Linked DNA regions of Oryzias latipes. Each later gene encodes a partner of the first gene's protein in a complex. Links are inferred from orthologs where the notes say so. Each region holds a gene or a part of one and is shown on either strand. Other genes may lie near its edges.

Evidence for each region.
Region 2: tubgcp5 (region 1) and nme7 share a complex: the UniProt entries of both Homo sapiens proteins name them as parts of the gamma-tubulin ring complex. The link is inferred for Oryzias latipes from reciprocal best matches to the Homo sapiens genes TUBGCP5 and NME7.
Region 3: the proteins of tubgcp5 (region 1) and mzt1 are in contact, whole or in part, in a crystal structure (PDB 6L81), measured with the Homo sapiens proteins. The link is inferred for Oryzias latipes from reciprocal best matches to the Homo sapiens genes TUBGCP5 and MZT1. Residues at the interface, in NP_443135.3 of Homo sapiens: Gln14, Gln15, Asp18, Val19, Glu21, Leu22, Val23, Val26, Ala27, Gly28, Asn36, Ala40, Phe43, Ala44, Asn47, Phe48, Arg52, Phe53, Leu54, Phe72, Lys80, Ser83, Trp84, Leu87, Thr88, Glu90, Phe91, Ala106, Ser109, Ile110; in NP_001065243.1 of Homo sapiens: Glu23, Val27, Leu28, Glu30, Ile31, Ser32, Ile34, Leu35, Asn36, Thr37, Leu39, Leu44, Ile46, Cys47, Val48, Arg49, Leu50, Cys51, Glu52, Gln53, Ile55, Asn56, Pro57, Glu58, Ala59, Leu60, Ser61, Ser62, Val63, Ile64.
Region 4: tubgcp5 (region 1) and tubgcp3 share a complex: the UniProt entries of both Homo sapiens proteins name them as parts of the gamma-tubulin ring complex. The link is inferred for Oryzias latipes from reciprocal best matches to the Homo sapiens genes TUBGCP5 and TUBGCP3.
Region 5: tubgcp5 (region 1) and tubgcp2 share a complex: the UniProt entries of both Homo sapiens proteins name them as parts of the gamma-tubulin ring complex. The link is inferred for Oryzias latipes from reciprocal best matches to the Homo sapiens genes TUBGCP5 and TUBGCP2.

Annotation. Positions count from the first base shown.
Region 1 is NC_019862.2:28,172,173-28,176,188, forward strand, and holds the start of tubgcp5 (gamma-tubulin complex component 5), read right to left. Parts: upstream 2,810-4,016; 5' UTR 2,504-2,809; coding exon 2,370-2,503; intron 2,267-2,369; coding exon 2,213-2,266; intron 783-2,212; coding exon 674-782; intron 95-673; coding exon 1-94. Other genes in the region: chst7 (carbohydrate sulfotransferase 7), read left to right, coding at 3,592-4,016. UniProt on the Homo sapiens protein: Component of the gamma-tubulin ring complex (gTuRC) which mediates microtubule nucleation.
Region 2 is NC_019862.2:27,541,840-27,545,915, reverse strand, and holds the start of nme7 (nucleoside diphosphate kinase 7), read left to right. Parts: upstream 1-1,275; 5' UTR 1,276-1,375; coding exon 1,376-1,378; intron 1,379-2,022; coding exon 2,023-2,124; intron 2,125-2,311; coding exon 2,312-2,478; intron 2,479-4,076. Other genes in the region: uncharacterized protein LOC101164391, read right to left, coding at 63-220, 333-400, 804-908. UniProt on the Homo sapiens protein: Possesses an intrinsic kinase activity. Displays 3'-5' exonuclease activity with a preference for single-stranded DNA. Does not seem to have nucleoside diphosphate kinase activity.
Region 3 is NC_019873.2:18,606,394-18,610,452, reverse strand, and holds mzt1 (mitotic-spindle organizing protein 1), read left to right. Parts: upstream 1-1,258; 5' UTR 1,259-1,559; coding exon 1,560-1,611; intron 1,612-1,716; coding exon 1,717-1,862; intron 1,863-3,346; coding exon 3,347-3,370; 3' UTR 3,371-3,830; downstream 3,831-4,059. Other genes in the region: bora (protein aurora borealis), read right to left, coding at 506-612, 773-922. UniProt on the Homo sapiens protein: Required for the recruitment and the assembly of the gamma-tubulin ring complex (gTuRC) at the centrosome.
Region 4 is NC_019860.2:22,844,001-22,848,097, forward strand, and holds the start of tubgcp3 (gamma-tubulin complex component 3), read right to left. Parts: upstream 2,802-4,097; 5' UTR 2,674-2,801; coding exon 2,598-2,673; intron 1,562-2,597; coding exon 1,454-1,561; intron 491-1,453; coding exon 423-490; intron 94-422; coding exon 16-93; intron 1-15. UniProt on the Homo sapiens protein: Component of the gamma-tubulin ring complex (gTuRC) which mediates microtubule nucleation.
Region 5 is NC_019877.2:19,478,048-19,482,081, forward strand, and holds the start of tubgcp2 (gamma-tubulin complex component 2), read left to right. Parts: upstream 1-1,233; 5' UTR 1,234-1,337; intron 1,338-1,666; 5' UTR 1,667-1,693; coding exon 1,694-1,843; intron 1,844-2,743; coding exon 2,744-2,872; intron 2,873-4,034. UniProt on the Homo sapiens protein: Component of the gamma-tubulin ring complex (gTuRC) which mediates microtubule nucleation.

The DNA.
Region 1 (4,016 bases):
CTTCTTTCAGTCGAGGTCTCTCCGTAAACTCTGTGTTTGAGGGGCATCCAGACAGGAGGAGCAGCAGAGACAGAATGCCATAATGTGCATCTGTCTAAGAGGGGAAACTACCGTCAAAATAAAAGTCCTGAAGACTTCAAGTTGTCAGTTCTTCTAACCTTTTTTGTCAAAAATATTTCAACTTTAGCAACAAAAGGCAGAGAGGATGACAAAACCTGCTGCCACATAAATCCAGTGAGCTTGTTTACGTGCACATCAAAGATCCCATCAATATCCGATTTCTTCCACTTTACCCCATATGTTATGTTGTTTCACATCTGTTCATGAGTTTACGCAAGTGCTAAAGACAGAAGAGGCTGCGTAACCAGGGCAACCGCAGCTCCTTTATACAAGTGTTTCTTTTGTTAGTTCCCATAAAAGCAAAGCAAACGCTGCAGCTCTGTGACGCTGACAGGAACAGATGCCAGAGGATTTTAAAGGTAGCAGGTTTATTATGAACATACGTAGTTCACCTAAATATACCAGATAATTGACTCCCAGGTAGACCAACATCTTCTGATGGTTGCATTTGTTTTTTGATTGATTACTGCATTTTTTTTGGACACGTAAACAAGCTCAGACCCGGACCTTTCTATCCTCTGGCCTCGTTTTATTTCCGTAGGCTCTTTCCTACCTTTGTTCCTTCTGTATTTGGCAGAGGAGAGTTCAGGAACTCTGCTGTCAGTCTCCTCCAGCTTCCTGCTTTACTCACATCAGAGTGAACCATCAGCTTTTCATAGATTCTGAAAAACCAGATTCTCCGTGTGAAATGTGCACGTTTACTCATGAAAGAGATGCTGTTTTTATGAACAGAACATGCAGCAACATCCACATATCCAATATCATTTCAAGAATAGAATTGGTGCCAAATGACATCCAGAAATTATTTATAGCTGTAGAAAATGTCCAAAGGAATAATGACATTTAAATTACTCGTTTTGTGCGTCTGTGTGTGAAACTGAAATGTGGAAAAGTCAAAGGTTTGAACAAAAACAATGCAAAAGTATTTCACATATCGTAAAAATACATACATCTATTTAGAGTTATACCATTATGTGTTGATGAAGATGATGTTTATGATTGTTCACTATAATCATAATTGCTTTATTATTATTATTATTGGAGGTTTCAACACGCTTAGCTTTTCTTTCCCAAACATGTTGTACATTGTTGTTGTTAATATTATTATCTTTAAGTTTTTAGCCTAATGCAAAGATATGGGGATGCTGGAGCCTATCCATGCAAATTCCCAGACACGCTCACACCTAGAGGACAGTTAAGAGTCGTCAATCAACAAATCGATGATGTGTTTAGACTGAAGGAGGAATCGCAGGAACCAGGAACTTGTTCCTGCGAGGTGACAGTTGTGCGGCTCCCATGAAGAACTCAAGTATATCAATGAACCCAGAGTTGCTTCAAAGACAGACTAAGACCACAAAGCAGCGCTGCAAAGCCTGAGAATATGCGTGAGGAGGTGTTACTTCCCATGCTAACATCTCAAATCTCAGGTGCTGTAAATGAAAAGACGGGAATTTTCCTGGATAAATATGAAACTGGACCAAAGAATAACATATTTAAAAAATGATTATGTAACTGGTGTGATGGATCAGGGTCCGCATTTAAAACGAGACGTTGGTTTTTGCTGTTTTCTTTTCAGGTCACTTGGAAATTTAAGGCACTTTTAGGGCAACAAACAGATTCAGAGAAACGATAAAGTTTGCAGATCAGTGAGTTTTGTTTCATGTTCACAAGAGGAACATTCCTCAATTGAAAATGAATTTACGTCATAAGAGACCATCGTTTTTCCTAATTTGCAACAATGAGATACGATTACCCTGCATGAAAATCTGTGGTGCGTTAAACAGTCTGTCATCCTGGAGCAAACACTCATTTCTGCACATCACAGTATTGTGTTGCATGGATTGTGCTGTTGCTGACTGTTGGCGTGTAAAAAAAAAAACCCCAAACATAACAGCTTTAAACCCGCTGGCCCTCATTTAAACATATTTACCGAAAAACACGCAGCTTTTGCATAATATTTGACCTCCATAACGCAAGAATGCAGTTACGGTGAGAGCTTTCCATGGGTTTGTGATGATGGCAAAACCAAAACACCTTACTATTTTTTTCTAAAACACAAAACCAGACACAAAAGACAACATTATTCACTCACCCGTTTATGCTGCGTTCAACTTTATGACTGTCAACGTCCAGAAAACTATGGAACCTTTAAAAAAAGGATGTTTTTGGTCATCAGCTTCTGATATTGTTTGCTAATATTATAGTTAGCAATGAGCTAGCTCCACCTAAACCATCAATGGTGGACTCACTTAAAATTTGACCACGTAAATTTCAGCGCACGCTGGAAATTCTGGTCCTCCTCATCCTCGATGCCGCTGATGAGCCCGATCAGCCTTTTCGTTTCTTTCTCTGTTTCTTTCTCGAAGATGCTCCAGTGCGCCATGATGATGATGTTAGCATCAGACGTTACGCTGCAGGCAGCGGGCTGTCCGGCAGGCTAGCAGCTGGACGGACCGCTTAAGACGAAACGGTGACCGATGACTACATTAAATGTTTCATATTGTAACAGGGTAGTTTAACAGGCTAAGACGTCCCGCGTAATTGTTGCCGCTGGACATGAATCGCGTGTAGTGCGCATGCGCAGGATTACCACTAATCAATATTATTTTTTTCTTTAACATATTTTCATCTCTGTGTTTTGATCCCGAACTATTATTTAAAAATGTTAACTTCTTTTTTTCTCCTTTACAAAATAAATAAATAATAATAATAATTGTTCACCTTGGTCACCATGGTTACGAGTAAAAACTTCCGGTTCAGACAATCAAGTAAACAGCATTTCTTTTTTACCGTATGGCATTGACACAAACAAACAGAAAATATAATTTTTTAACTACACATTTAAGTTTTATCATTTAAAATTAAATTCACTGATGATGCAATATCCTTGTTTTCCTTGACACGCATGTGTGTGTGTGCGTGTGTGTGTGATCAAATTCTTCAGTGACTTTAATAGCACGCACTTAACGTGTTATTTTTTAGTTTCTATTAATACATTATAATTTATCTAAAAAAGAGCTTTTACTTTGTCATTTGTTACAAAACATTTTTATATTGCACGGACGGAAAATTTGGCCTAAAACTTGTTTTTTCTCTGTTCGATGTGCTGAAAACCAGTTCAAATGCTCTGAGACACGCAATCAAATCTGGCAACCTCACTAAGCCCCGCCTCCAGTTTACGTAGCTAAAGAAATTCTTCGACAAAAAAAATAAATAAATTTGAAGATATTTTTCCGTACAAAAAAACTCAAAGCTTGTGTCATTAAGAACACACCCGTTTTACAATGTATACGTAAAAAACATGAAAAGATTCGCAAAACTTCTGGTTGAGGGGGCGTGGCTAGTTTTCCACACATTTACTAACAGACACACACTAACAGTCTCGCCTCGCATAACTTCACAGGAGCGAGTCTTCCTCGCCGGAGTCCCTTCCCAAAGACAGGATTCCAGTCGTGATTAGGGCAAAAGGAAATGAAGAGGAGGTTAAATAAGAAATTCTTGATTGTGATCGTCGCATATTCGGGTTTACTTCTGCTAATCGCGTACGTGTTAGATTATCGGGATAAATCCGGCGAGCACGCCAAGCTTCCGCAGCAACAGCCCAGATGCTCAGATTTGGAGAACACGGTGGCGCTTCTGTGGGATAACAATGGCTACAAAGTCAACGGCAGCGACGCGGCGGCGGAGGCCAGATTCAACAGGAGTCAGCCGCGGATCCACATCTACCTGCACGCCACCTGGAGGACCGGCTCGTCGTTCTTGGGGGAGTTGTTCAACCAGCACCCCGACGTGTTCTACCTGTACGAGCCGATGTGGCACATATGGCAGGCGCTGTACCCCGGGGACGCGGGCAGCCTCCAGGGCGCGGTGCGGGACATGCTGAGCTCTCTGTACCG
Region 2 (4,076 bases), about 630 kb from region 1:
AAAGATGAGGATCAAAATCCACAGGGACGAATACATCGATCAAAAAGTGTTTTGTTTCTTACCAGAGCCAAAATTTTTCACCACTTCTCTGGCAAGATGGACTCCAGACATCAGCAGCTCCTTGGCCCGTTCAGCGCTCATGCCCAGGTGGGTTACAAAACCCTGGACGCTCGCCTGGTACGTGGCCGTGGTGATGACATCAGCCCCACTCAGGAGGAACCTGTTGCCAAAGAGAAACTCTCGTTTTAGTCATCAGCACCAGTACATAGAGAAAAATGACACAAAATTTGACTAAACTGACGTGACTATTGAAAACCTGCGCATCAACTGACCTGTGATGAGCATCTTTTATGGCCTTGGGATTCGTGTGCAAAAGTCTGGCACTCCACAGAGGATCTCCCTTTGTACACACACACACATAAATAACATAAAATTACCTTTAAATCTGCACGTAAGGAACTAACAGGTAAATACTGGTATTGACTACCATATTTGTCATGGTTAGAAAATCCCTTTCACTGTGAAACCGTTTTTTTTCCCCTCCATTCACACCATCTTCCAGTTCATCTTTCCGGGCGTTACTTAAGTACTACTTGAGTAGTAACGCATAACAAATGATGCTCCTGAGTGAAGCAGAAACCAACTTCACAGGACACAATGGCTCTATCTAGTGGTTTACTGAGTTTGTTACAAGTTGTATGCGCACGAGACCGGACCACAGTCTTTATGTGCGCTTTAATGCATTTATTGCCCAAAAACGTTCAAAGCAACCATTGGATAATATCATAACATATTTACTTTACCTGTAGTTGTGCCCCGTGTGCTTCCAGTTCAGTTGCTAAACCTCCATCCAGGATCAAAGGCCTGTTTCGGTTAATGAAGAGTCTCAACCGAGCAGATGAACCCATGGAGCAACTCTGGATTTGCGATTAATTGCAACTTAATCCAAAAGTGGGACCCTAATCTAACGACGTTGGACTAATTTGGCTAACATGTACCACATCCGTCAATGTTGTTGTTCCGGGTGCAAAAGTCAACAGTTGCGTTTAAAGACATCCGTACATTTGACCTTCTAAGGTTGTCAAAACACAAGTCAATGTTGTCAAACTGATACTTCTTTTTTCAATAAAAAATGTGTGAACAATAAAAGGTCTTCAAAAAAATATATTAAAACTACTTAACAATATTTCTTTTGAGATGTGAGCGCGCAACAGTGTTTTTTGTTTTGTTTTTTTGTTCAGAATTGTCAGAGGTGCTCAACGACGGTTTTTCATGAACGCACCTTGGCTGGTTGCTATAGATACGAATCGGAGCCCGGGATAACTGCCGTCCATTAAACAGAGCTACGACATTTAGCTTTTGTTTACTTGTTAAAATGGTAAGCGTTTATCGCCCCTCTTTATTTAAAAACGTTCCAAAACGCTTTAATGATATAAAACGTATAATTAATTTTGAACAAATTGAAGATGTTGTTGTTTGCTAAACTCCGCTTAGCAACTTTTAGCAGATCTAGGAAAGCAAGGTGCTAACTCTTCTGTGGAACTAAGTGTGTCTTGTAATTATTTCTCCTGAAATATAAATAAGTTTAATAGCACGGAACATGTTTTAATTGAATATAGATTTTAGCAAAGCGTGTCAGGTCAATCCAGGGTTTAGCAGTCGACGAATAAACACTAGTATGTGCTTTTGATTTCAAATTAAAAAGCTGTTTTTATGGAAATGTTTTCTGATTGGTCAGTTTGCATCGACATATGTTGGCTGATACAAATAATAGTAGAAATACCCCCCCTTTTTATGGTCACTTTCTGTCTTGGTGATGCTAATAATGCAGAATCCCACCAATACTGGTATGTTTAACATTCAAATCTGGCACTGGGGTCCCTGCTGTGCAATGCTAAAGGCTTAATTGTATCTCACATGGTTGAACATACATCAGAAGTTTAGTCAAACGTTTTACTGGATTCACGCCACTGCATTTTATTTCTTGCTGTTTAGAATTTGACTGACTTCTTGTCTCTTCAGGAGGATCGCTATGCTTTTCTAGCTGAATGGTTTGACCCCATCGCAGCTCTGATGAGACGCTTCCAGCTGTTCTATTACCCCAACGATGGCTCCATGGAAATGGTAAAAAAAACAATAATTATTATAATTCCACTTATTTCTGATTACTGATTTCTTTTCTGTAGCTTTTGAACACATTGAATAGTTTAAAGGTTGTGATTGCAGTCTTTGCCTCCTTCTCAAATGTATAAATCATTGAACAATCTACAAGTCTGAGTGTGTGTGTGTGTTTTTTTTTATCACTCTACAGTTCGATGTGAAAAACCAGCGGGTATTTTTAAAAAGGATCAAGTATGATGACATCCATCCACGGGATTTGTTTGTTGGGAACCGAGTGAATGTTTTCTCCCGGCAGCTAAATCTGATAGATTATGGAGATCAGTACACAAGAAACAAGCTGGGCAGCAAAAAAGAAAGGTACGATTGGTTAAGCTGCACGTAAGTCTCTTTTATCCCCTCTAGTTACTGCACATACCATTCAGATTTATGTGCAAGCTCTTGAAAAGAATGACTGGAAGAGAAGCTTTTTTCCAGACGCCTCAAAAATGTAAAGCGGTCAGTGGAAATCAGAAAACATTACTGTTTACGTAAATAGTTTTACAAACTTCATGTTTTAATAAAACACATCAAAGTTGAAGGCACCATAAAGCATCATAAATGAAAAAAAAGATAAAGATTGATTAATGTACTTTGAGTTTTTTTTTTTTTAACAAAAAATAAAATAGTGACATAAACATGATAAACAGAAAGTAATAAAGTGCTTGAAAAACGAGTTGGTAGAAGTAAAATCTTTTGAATTCCCACCCCCAATCTTACTTTATTTTATGCAGACATTTTTGCTGATAAAAGATGTAATCATTATTCACATAAGATTTTAAAAAAAATAGAAAAAGTGACCAAAATTGACTGCATCATATCAAGTCATTAGGTTTTTAAGATTTCATGCGGCTCACCCTCTTTTATGTGGAAGGTGTGTTCGAGTCACGTTCAATGAAAATTGTGTTTTTGGTGTTTGCAACTTTTTCTTTTGATATTTTTCTGATCATGGAGTCCATATAGAAAGAAAATTAGGCTGAAAATTGCTCTTCTGAGTATTTCTTTAATCAAATCGTTGTGAATCAGGAACAGAAGAAAAAATGCGGCTGGAAAAAGATCAGATTTGTGGCGTAGAAAATACTCCGGGCGGCCTTTGTGAATAGGATTGTTAAGAAAAAAGTTATATTAATATGAATGAAAATTTATTAAAATATTATTTTCATTAAAAGGCCTATATCATGCAAAATCAACTTTTTAGAGCTTTTACGTGTATTATAATGTGAATTCCTCACAAAAACAAACCCAAAGTGGTATTCTGATTAATTCACGGTTCTCTGGGTATTCCTCTAAAAACCTGCACTATGAGCACCAGCCCCTCCCAATCCACTTTGTGACGTCACAAAGTGAGGAAGAGTCTGCGCTGCCAGCACTGACCCCAGGCAAACACACACTCGCTTTCTCCGTGGAGCTAGCGGTGATCGGCTTAACGCTTTCCTTTTAATTTGCCCAAAATGCACATCCATCTTTGCAAAAGTTCGGATGTCGTTTTTTTCTTTGTGTGCGTGAAACACAGACACGCCGCCGAGGCCGACTCTAGAATGACATCATGAAATGGACGGCACCTTCAAGGAGGGAAAGGCGGAGCCTCAGAGATCAAGTCGTCTTACTTCCGGGCAGAAAAAAATTGCTGTGATAATAACAAATATTTCCTAAAAAGGATTCAAGGATTCAAGAAGTTTTTATTGCCATATTCTGTGTAGCTACACAGAGTAGGAATTTGTTTCGGTGCAAATGTGCAACATAAAACAGAAGAACAGTAAGCAACAACATTTTTACAAATGGACAGAACAAAAATATAAATAGAGTCAGTAGTGCAAGGGGTGTCAAAACAGTGCAAACTGAGAATGTTCAAGGTGCAGGTAGTGGGCTGGTGACTGATTGGACATTGAAGTGAAATTTAGGGGGGGGGGGGGGGGGTT
Region 3 (4,059 bases), on another chromosome or scaffold:
AGGTATTTAGATCTGCACAATAAATCACAGAGCTATCGCCATCTTGTTATCAGCCTGTGCAGTATGCGTATCGCAGAAGACAGTGCAATAAATCATACCATAAATGTTTACACACATGCCTAAACAATCTTATGGCAGCTTGAAGTGTTTCAAATTCAAAATAGCCTGTTAAGCTTTTGACTAATTGGATGGAGCCCTTTTATGTTAGATGCTTCCCTCCTATCAGGTAAAAGATCATTTGGAGTATAAATCAAGTTATACTGACTTTTATTTTGATAAAACTGTTGCAGTGAAATGAAAAAGATGTATTAGTTGTTTCATGTTTTACTTTGGGTTCATGTATCGTAAGTCACATCGTCATCGCAATATTGATCACCAATATCGCGAGTTTTCCTGATATCGTGCAGCCTTAGTTTAATTACAGTTTGTAATTTGCCAAATATTTAAGACTGGAATGCAATCAAAGATTTGCCACTGTTAACAAAATAAGGGATTCAGGACACACCTTGTCTGGCTGAGGTAAAAAGACTGTCGCTGGATTTCTTCTGGGTCTATGTGCACTGGGAGAAGGCTGGCCATTTCATCAATAGACCAGTTAAATCTTGGAGGGGTCTACAGAAAAGACAAGATATGAGACAAAACTACACAGCAGCCTTAAGACACATTTCTCGAAGTAAAAATTGCAAAACACACTTGCAAAAACCGGTTTCAGCTTGACTGTGTAAATAATATTCAATTTTAGTATAAGTTGTGGGTAAGAAATTAAACTTACAGCTTTACAGGACTTGGATTTAAAAACAGATGGGCTTGGAACCAAGGGTTCCCGGAGATGGTGGTAATCATTTGGACTCTCAAAGGGGTTTCTTATGGAAGGCCTGCCCGGAGTCTCTGGAGTTATCTCTAGCTCGATACGGTCCCCCATCCTGGCTGAAAATTCAAATTCAAGTTATAAAGAAAATGTATTACAAAGTACACTTAAAAACATTTTAAGTGTAAACCAACATGTATTTTTTTTACTCGATCCGTTAGCTAGCTGTGATGTTAGCTTGCAAGGAAAACAACAGTTTTAAAATCAGTTCAAAAACAACATAACACCCATAATTTAATCCTTACCGACACTGACTATGTAATTGTTTTCCGCCCCTGGTACTTACATGTTTTATCTGACTTGGACTGTAAAGCGACTAAATCAAGAGAAAGTCTTCCCCTGTCGACTCCACAGTGGTATTAGGAAGAGAACAATTCAAACGTTTATTTCAATTTCGTCCACGGAGCCAGCCAACCAATAGAATCGTTACAGAAAGTTGTTGAGGACCAATAGCGACATCTGTGTCGTCATTTCCGCTGCTAGTTTGCGGACGGTGCATCAACTTTGATGCAAGCTAAATGCTAATGCGGCATTTTATCGTATGTCAGAATCCGAGTAAAGCAAATATGAGATATTTTAAACGCGGCCGTGTTGTTTAATTGAATTGTTTTCATCAACGTTTTATCAGGGTAACATATAAGCTGTTGTGTATCTGCTAGCAAGTTCTAGCTAGCTAACTAGCGTCATCGTAATGGCAAGTGCAGCTAATGCTAACCTGAACGCAGTCCGGGAGACTATGGACGGTAAATATTTTAACTTGTGTGCACATATTAGCATATTTAATAAGAATTTCAAGATTATCATTAAATCATTCTATTAATTTTAAACTTTTCGCTTTTCCTGAACAGTTCTGCTAGAGATTTCAAGACTGCTAAACACTGGTTTGGATATGGAGTCCTTGTCCATTTGTGTGAGGCTGTGTGAGCAAGGCATCAACCCTGAAGCTCTGTCTGCTGTCATCAAGGAGCTCCGAAAAGCTTCAGAGTCTCTGAAGGTAGAAGAGAAACTACCACATCTCATTACAGACCAAAACTTATGTCCGTGTTTTTTTCTTCTTTTAGTGTTATCGCGAGTTCTATAACCATTTGGAAACCATTTGTTAAGCTTGAGTGTCATTGTTTTTTTATTTTTACATTAAAGTCTGTAATGATAAACATCATATCAGTGTAAATAGTAGTGATGGGTTGATGATGCTTTAATGAGTTTGACACATCTCCCAAACTGTTGACTCTGACATAGTGTTGCTCCCTCTCTAGTGACCCCTGCAGTAATTCTGAAATCATTGCAGGTAAATAAAATAAGAACGGCATTTTTGGTGTTTTTAACATGTTCTTGTAGCACTTTTTTATGATTGATTACATATAATAGAAAATTAACATTAAAACAGCATTTTTGATTATTTCTTAATTAAGAAACCGGAGAAGTCAAATAATGCAGTTTGAAAAACTTGCAGTTGTGACATAGAAACAACAGCCATTAGGCCAAACTCCCTGCTCTGCTCTAGTCTGATGCCTCCACTGGCAGATGAATAAATTTATGTACATTTTTGTTTTCCTCGTCTGAGCTGGAATCTGGATCAAAGCTGTTCAGGTGGATGGCTCAAATATTGTTCACTATATTTGTTGCACCGCTAGTGTGAGCTTGGGGTTGTCAGGGACTCAGTTAGCGGGAGAGTGTAAACAAGGTGTCGCTCGTCCCATCATTAGAAAATAGAGCTGTGGTATTAAAGTATTTCAGTATTTTGACTTTTATTTAACACAAGTTGTTTGATTGATGCCCACATACTAGTGAATCCTTAAACTTGATTTTTTTTTCTCTTTAGAATATTTTCTACTATTTAAATTTATTAAATATTTTATCATCCTTGCCACATCAACCCAACGATACTCTAAGCTTTAAAGTGTAAACTCAAATATTTTAATTTATAATATCTTGCTTTTTTTATGTAAAAATGGCTAAACCTGCAACTAAATCTATGAATGAGAAAAGCCGAGGACTGAAAAACATTTGGCGCATACAGATGAATTAATTCTGTTACTAAACGTCCTGAAAACAGATCCTTATGGTTTGTAAATAGAAATATAGACATGAGTTTATTTTTTAAAGAAAATGTAATTAATTAAATTTTCTCTGAGCTTCAGAAAAGCTCAAATATACTTAACATAAGTCCAGCATTCAATTTGCACTTTTACAGAACTGGCTTTGTCTGGTTTTGCAAAGTGCTTTACAGCTTCTTTCCCATTCACATACACACTTGCTGCAAAACCCAATGATCCACATGCCGAAATGAAAGCTGTTAGACTTTTCATCTGGAGTACCTCGTGCGTAAACGTCAAGCCCAACAAGACACCGACATCTAGAGGGACTGGGATCAAACTGTTTTCTGTGTGATTAATAGACTGCCTTGTGTCCCACCTGAGCCACAGCCACACCATTTCAAACAATAAATCATGATGGTTTATTACTTTTTATTTTCAGGTTTCTGAGAATTGCACAACCTGAAGATGGAATCGGAGCCCATCTGTGCAGGACTTTAATAAGATCATCCCCTGTTCCTGGATCTTTACCAGCTTTCCCGCCTCAATCCCAATCATTTTGACAGTGACTCAAATGTTTTCTACTTTTTTCATTTGTTTGTTGTTGTTTAAAAGAAAATGACTTACATTTGTTGTTTTTCAAACACACAAGACACAGATCTGAGCAGCACTGTCAAGTTTAAGCCTTCTTTTGTTTTGTTTTTTCTCTAAGCAGCATGGATGTTGGGTTTGACTGTCAGAATGTTTTATATCAGAAACATGTTGGACATTATATGTTAAAATCTTTATTGATTTTTTTTTTCAATGTATATTATTGCACTATCATTTTTTTTCTTGGTCATTTATTGGCACAAATCTATTTCTGAAGGTCCTGTAAGTTTTCAATGGAATTGTGGGAAATAAAATGTTACCATCAGTGACCACAAGGGGGAGTTCTAGTCTTTGTTCTCAGTATTTATTTAATTGTTGGGATTTTAAAACAAATACCACTTTATATTATTTCTGATTAAAAAAAACTGTAATATACATTTAAAAAAATAATATTTGGCTTTAGTTTCTTTTTTGTACGTGTCATGGTCTAATTTTGGGTCAGCAGTATAACATAATAACCTTATTTGGTTGGATTTTACAACGGAAACAATCTTTCCTGTCAGA
Region 4 (4,097 bases), on another chromosome or scaffold:
GGGGGGCGCGCTCACCCTGGAGGATGGTTTGCGGGGGTCTTCAGAGAGAATCAGCAGCAGGTAAAGAACCGCCCAGCGGTGCTTCAGAACACCCTGAAAGGTGGAAAACCGTCAAAATAAAAGCCCAGCATCCTTCAATCAAATGAAAGAAGATTCAATTTTGACCAAATTTAATAAAAAAAAAAATCATAGCTTATTAATTACTAACATCAATAGCTTTAAAATTAAAGTACGGCAAGAAACAAACAGAAAAATGGACAACAATCAAATAAATGTGGACTTTTAACCTTTCGTCTTCACGTATTTTGTTTTTTCCTCATTTATTCATCTAGTATTACAAACTCAGCTGAAATAGTGTCGTCAGAAGCCAGCAGGGTCGTTTTTGGAGGTTTATTCTTGTTGGCGGGTAGAAAAACGCTCACCTGAGTCTGGAGTTTTCGGTGCAGCTCTGAGAAGAGAGCAGCGTCCGCCTCCCTCCTCTGCTTCACCACTGCAGGAGCATCGACACCAACAGTTAGACGCCATCCAACGCTCCTTTCACAGCCTCAAACGTCTGATGGTTTCATGTCCACATCTATCAAAAACCCTTACGCTTGTTTCAGTTTATAGAAGTACAAATTAAAACTGAAACGTAGCTTTTTAATTAAATTCTGGTTTTTTTTGTAAAATAAAAACAAATCCGACAAACTCTTACAGTCAAAAGTTAACTATATTATAAAGCATGCACTGATAAAATGAAATAAATGTGTTAATTCAACAAAAATTGGTACTTTTAAATGAGAAAAACATACAACTTTGTAAATAAAATAAAAATTCAATTAAATAAATGTTCTTAATAAATATGTTCGTTAGAAAAAACACTAAAGACAAGTATTAAACTTTACAATAAGATTTTTTTCTTACAGAAGCATATTACTAAGTGTAAACATATACAATGTTGAAAGCAAGACGAAGGACGAAATTAATTTTTTCCCGAACTAAAACCAGGTTTGAATGCATCCCGACCGGCACCTGGAGCTGCAGACAAACACAACTAAAGAGGCTTTTCTGTTGGACTTCCTGGAACAAACTCCATCATAATTCCGTTTGGGATCAATAAAGTATACCTGGATGGATTCTGTCGTCTGCAGTAACAGAGAGGGGGGGTGCACGTTAACCTCGGTTGGAAGTCTTATTTAAATCCCATTAGTCACAGGAGACGTCCAGCCCCCGCAACCTGGAAAGTGCTATTTCAGTTTGATGATGAGCGACGAGGCTCAGATCAATGTTTTCCCGCTAGCGCTACTGCAAAGCAAGTCAATAGATATTTGCTGCCGAGAGGCAATAAAGGTTTTCAACGTTGCTGAGTCTGACGTTTATCCGCACAGGCCAGATGCTAAAGGGACCAAATTCAGAAAAGATGCAGCAGAGGAAGAAAAAAAAAAAAAGCCTCCTGAGGTCAAAGGTCACTCACGTTCCTTCTTGATCTTCTCCGACACCAGGAACTCGTCTCGCTCAAAAGTGGGAGCGTAGTTGTTGCCGATGACTCGGACGGCATACTGAAACTGGTGGGCGACTTCAGCTGCACAAAAAACAGATATTTATTAAATCAGCAAAAGAGTTTATGCTTTAAAAAACAAACAAACAAACAAAAACAATGGTTTTCATTTTAGGACACAAAAGGAAGAAATTCTGATTTTTTTCACCAAATTATGTCACTAAAAACGGTAACTGTGAATTACTGGACAATGCTGCTTTTAATTCAGTTGTTAAAGTCTCACTCTGGTCATATTTTGATCTATTTTCAAAGCCTTCCTGGTTTTTTTCTTTATTTATTTTGTTAGGATTATGACCTTAAAACTGTTTAAAAACATGTTGTTTTCCAGGACACAGTTGTTGCAGAGCAGCAGAGGCTCATTTGAAACTCGCCTCCGTGTTGTGGCTGTTGACACGTAGTAGTAAGTAAGCCCCGCCGCCCTTCCCATCATCCATCTGTTTACACGCTCTCCCGTTGGCTTGCAGCCCCTCACAACCTCGCCCTAACATTTTTTTTGCCTCGTTTCTGGGGCCTGCAGCCGGGAGTCAGTGGTTCCGCACGGGCTGCCGAAACGCTGCCCAGCTAACGGCGGTCCCGAGCCCGGCATAGCGGTTTAACGCAGCAGCTGTCAGGCGGGATGCTGCAGCATCAAGACCGCAGCCTGACATTCAGGCTAACCCGGGCCGAGCTCCCTGCGAACCACGGATTCCTTTAAGACGATTCGCTTGATCCCCTTCAAATGCTGGCAGTAAAGTTCAGCAAAAAATTCCACGCGGATCACCAAATAATTGTTGACATGTATTGCCAGAAAACCCGGTTTACGATGATCAAATTCCGTCGGCAACGCTCTGGGTTTAGCCGGCGGGAGACTTTACGATTGTATTTAGTCACTTATAAATGTCAAGCTTCAACTTCATGTGCCGAATAAATCCGTTCCCACTAACTGTTATTTTAAAGTCATTAAAATGAATAAGAAGCAAGTTAAACCGCCAATCTGACCCTCAACCTGAAAGAGTGTCGTTTTCAAAGCAGCTTCGCCAAAGTAGCGGTGTCGCGGCTATGCTAGCTCTGGCTCCCGTACCTTCGCTTTTCCCCGTGATTCTGCAGCACAGGCTCTGCAGGAGGACGTTGGGGGATTTCTGGTCCAACGTCGCCATCGTTTTCACCACAGACGGGATCAATTCGCAAATGCAGGGAAGGAATAGTTATTAACCGCAGCCTCCCACAATGAGCAACGCCATTTAGCGACTACGAGTCAAAGTAGCGGGGAGGACGGAATCTGAAGTGACCCTTTTCCTGCCCCCTTCAAAATAAGAGCCTTCAGCATAGTTATCAGAATTGCACAGAAAATAGTAAATAAAAGAAAAGATTCCAAATAAGACAGTTATTAACCTCACTAATATACTATATACTTGAATTCTAAAAGGCATATTTATAATAGGTAAAGTATGAACAGTAGAGTGTTTGGTGCATTTGCATTTAATCATGCATTTAAAATTATAGTTAAAAATAATTAAAACTACAAATGATTGTATTTTATTGTGTAGAAAATAACTATTTTGCACAATTTTTTAAATGAAATGTTTTCTTGGTTGCAGTAAGGCTATCCTTCAATGTGTGCAAAAAAAAGAGAAAGAAAATAGATTTTACGGCTAGTACGTGGTGGAAGACCTCAAAAAAATGTAGACAATAGGCCTGCACAATATATCGCAAGTTTATCGAGATCAAGCTGTGCTATATGCATATCGCAAAAGACTGCGAAAATTCCAATAAATGGTTACTTTAAATGTGCCAAAACAATCTTATGACAAAATTTGTCTCGAAAAGGTCTTGATGCGTTTTATTGTGTAGTAGTTAACAGGAAACATCCGCTTTGATTACAAAGAACTTTATTGAGACAGTTCAATTTACCCGCCGAAATGCGTCCCCGGTGTCGGACACGCCATGGAAAAAAATACTTCCCTATTGAAACAAGGGCCTTTTTTGTTTGTTCCTACCGGTTCATCGTTTCCGTTATTAGGGATTTGAAAATTTCTCACAACTGTCTTATTTTTACATTAAAAACATCATAAAAAATGCAAATAAAGTTAAAAAAAAAAACAGAAAACACGAATTAATTAGCAAATATTTTCTTTATTTATTATTTGATTATTTGTTGTAAGAAACTATCTATTACATACAATTAATGTAGAAAATTTCCACCATCACCCCAATATTCATTTGAAGTCACATTAGCAGCAACAGAGTTCCTTCCGACAAATCAGATTTAAGGATGGCGGTGCACCAAAATGTCCTTCATGGAAAAGCTGGTTTATTTTAGCCGAAATTACATTTGCTGTTTAAATGTTTGGACAGTTTCAACACTTAAGGGAAAAAAAATACAGTTTGCACATTTATTAAATAAATAAAATAATTTGTTTCTATCCAAATAATCTGAATTTATTGTGGAGTGTCCAGTATTATATTATTTTATATTATATTATAAATGTTCCTTTTTGCTTGCCATGTATTTAATGTAGATTTATTGTGAAAAACTTAATTTAAATTCATTATTATTTTTTCTATAATAAAAAAAAAATCT
Region 5 (4,034 bases), on another chromosome or scaffold:
AAAAGTTTTGTCACACACCATAAAGTAACTACCTCCCGGTTATTTACTCATCTTCATTTTACAATTGTATTTCTGCAAATACTACAGATGAAAAATAGCCTTTGGGCTAATTCTGGCGCATTGGAGCCATGCTTTTAATGTGCACTGTCCCTGTTAAATAAACTAATAAATAAATGAAATAAATATATTTTTGTCGTTCTAGACTCATTTAAACAAATAAAGATGTTTCTTTTTCTCAATGAAATTAAGAAAAATAATTTTCAATGGTTTTTTAACCCCCTCAGCCAAAAAAATAAAATAAAAAACGACCCTCTCACCCTCCGTGGGTGGTTTCTCTGCTAGCACTGCCCTTTCTGGACTGACAGGTCTGAGATGTTTCCAGGTATCTGTAGCCACTCCTCCAGCTTGGGGGTTACTGCCCCGAGTGCTCCAATTACCACAGGCACCACTGTCACCTTCACTTTCCATGCTTTCTCTAGTTCTTCTCTGAGTCCCTGGTATTTCTCCAGTTTCTCATGTTCCTTCTTCCTGATGTTCCCATCGCTTGGTACTGCCACATCCACCACAACAGGTTTCCTCTGTTCTTTATCCACCACTATCAGTCTGGATCTGGAAGTCCCACAGGATCTTTGCCCTCTCATTCTCTACCACCTTCGGAGGTGTTTCCCATTTTGACCTTGGGGTTACCAGTTCATATTCTGCACACATGTTCCTGTATATTATTCCAGCCACTTGATTGTGGCGCTCCATGTATGCTTTACCTGCCAGCATCTTACACCCTGCAGTTATGTGCTGGATTGTTTCAGGTATAGGCTGTTTGCACAGGCTACACCTTGGGTCTTGTCTGGTGTGGTAGATCTGAGCCTCAGATCTACCATATATATATAGATTGATAGATATAGATATATATCTATATATAGATACAGATATATATCTATATATAGATAGATTTAGACATAGATATACACACACACATCTATCTATCTATCTATCTATCTATCTATCTATCTATCTATCTATCTATCTATCTATCTATCTATCTATCTATCTATCTATCTATCTATCTATCTATCTATCTATCTATCTATCTATCTATCTATCTATCTATCTATCTATCTATCTATCTATCTATCTATCTATCTATCTATCTATCTATCTATCTATCTATCTATCTATCTATCTATCTATACGTTTGAATACCTAGCCTGTAGGGGGCAGACTCACGTCATGTCCTTGTAAAGTGTCAACAAACGAAGAAGAGGAATTTGAGCAGCATTGGGCGCCTTTGGTACATGATTCACTGAACGTTGGTGAGCTCATTTTCACGACTCCTGCAGGTACAGAAATAGTTGAAATGTTGTATTTTACCCGTGATAAGGTTTATTCAGAAATGACCGAAATTCAAATATTGGCAAATTTTGCACTTGCGTTTGGATTAGCTAGCATACTATTTAGCATTTGCAGTTTGCAGGCTAGTTAGCCTGTTTACTAGTAACATTTGGCTCAGCATCAGAGTACAGAGAGACTTTAAGTATTATATATATAAAGTAATTGTATCTCCGTAGCCAATCTATAGGCGATTGTTTGTCGGTGTGAACGAGCTGATGCCTGCTGAGATGCTGTGTTCGCTGAAGCTAAGATGCTCTCCTCTGTTTTTGTAACCCAGCCTTCCTGACAACTGACTGACTGAGCCATGAGTGAGTTCCGGATCCACCACGACGTGAACGAGCTGCTCAGCCTGCTGCACCTGCGTGGAGGTGATGGGGCAGAAGGTTACATAGATCTTCTACAGAAGCACAGGACACCGTACGTCACCACCACAGTGTCTGCTCACAGTGCCAAGGTGGGTCATTTATGCTGTATTTATTTACAGGCTAGTCTATAGTCATGCAAATCTTATCATGGTTTTCGTTTTATGACATTAAAAAAGCCCTAATGAATGCTGTTTTGTGATTTGTTTTTCATCTTTTGAGGCGACCTTGGATGGCCAGAAAGGGGGGGGGGGGCATATAGATCATATTATTTATGATTATTATAATTAAAAGGGAAAAAATGACAACCTCAAAATATGTTTATATAGACAAACCTGCACTTGCTGGGAAACAAACAAAAAAATGTTATTGACAGAATGATTATTTACTCTAAAACTGTTCAAGAAGTATTTTTTAAACCAAATGCCAGACAGCCCAGTATTTCAGATATTTGGATTAGGGATGCCCAAACTGTCAGTCTAAAAACAAACCATATGTTCCATCACTGAACCAAATTGTTGGGGGGAAAGAATTGTGCAGCCTTACTACATACCAGTACAGTCAAAGTGTTAAATTTGTGACAAATTTATATTATATTAATTTTTATTACATAACACCAGACTAGTGTAACCCAATTGAAAGATTTTCCTTCGTTGTTACTTGCTTAATAACAAATTTAAAAAAGGATTTTTCTGAATCATAAATGGATTTTAGTATTGTTGTTTTGTAATGTATAAATCATATGGCGAACCCAAAAAACTTTGAACCGAGTAATGGAGAAAGTGAATCAAGACATCCTTATTAAAAGTTTAAGATTTATTAGTTAAAACACATTTTTTCCATTTGAAGGATGTTAAAAGATAAAATTAAAAAGGTGGCTACAAAGGAAGAGTAGCCAACTGCTAAAGACAGAAAGGTGTAGACAGTAGGAGTCGTAGTGGTTTTACTGTTTATAATTTGCAATGTCTGATATTACTTCTTTTGTCTCTTAGGTCAAATTAGCGGAGTTTTCTAAAACACCAGAGGATTTCTTGAAGAAATACGAGGAGCTCAAGTCTAAAAATGTTCGAAATCTCGACCCTTTGGTGTATCTGCTTTCCAAACTCTGTGAGGATAAAGAGGTAACGCACCGTATTTGTTGTGCTGAAGTTTAGGTGTCTGCATTCATACAAAATGACATTTCTTTAGGAGGTGAAAGTGGTCATTTTAAAGCAAATCCTCCCAGTAACATGACCTCTTTTTTTCTGTCTGAATATGTGGTTTTCCTTAAGGACCCACTCTATTTAAAAATGTGGTTTTGGTGTTTTTAACATGTTCTTCTGGAAATGTTCTGTTGATGGAGGAAATATATAAAGAAAATTAATTTTATCATTGCATTTCTGAGTATTTTTTATTTAAATCTATGGAAATCATGAGGGCTGTCCGGTCTCTATATGACCGGAGAAAGAGCTTGGTTCACAAAACCGGCAGTAAGTCAGACTTGTTTCCGGTGCATGTTGGACTCTGTCAAAAAGTGTCTTTTAGGACAACACAAGGGAATGCATTCAAAAATAAAGATGCTCCAGGTGAATCAGTCACTGGGTCTTTTCATAGTTTTTTATTGAAATTTAATTGATACTTTATTTATCCTATAATGGGGAAATTCTTCTCCGCATTTTGACCCATCCTCTGGGGGGAGCGGTGAGCTGCAGGCTCGACAGCTGGCTGGGGAGAGCGAGGATCGATTCCCCCAATCCTTCGGTTGTTGGACGACCTGCTCTACCGCCTGAACTAAACTGCCGCCCAGAAATGAATGGAGAGAATTTCCAGGGGCAGCCAGGGGCGAGAGGGGGTCTGGTTTACCTCTCTGCTCTTTGCAGATGATGTCCTGTTGGCTTTATCAAGTTGGGCTGCATTGGGGCGGAACGAGGGGAGTCTGGGCATCTTTGCTTAGACTGTTGCCCCCGCGACCTGGTCCCAGATAAGCGGAGGAAGATGGATGGATGGATGGAAATCATGAGCTGACAGTTTAAGAGCTTTTTTGTGACGTATGTTGGAAGAGGATCAAGCTCCCTGCTCCACAACCTGGAAGGGAAGAGGGGTGGGGTTGCTCTGTGCCAATGGTCCCGCCTACAACTCAGAGGAGATTTTCTAATGAACTACTAAAGCTCTGCAGAAACTATGTACTAGAAAATGATGCAGGTTTCTGGTTTGGGCTAAAAACTGTCTATTCATAATGAAAAGGCCACAGAGAAAACTTTGATAATAGATCAAAAGATGATCAAAGTGGGACTTTAATAAGAA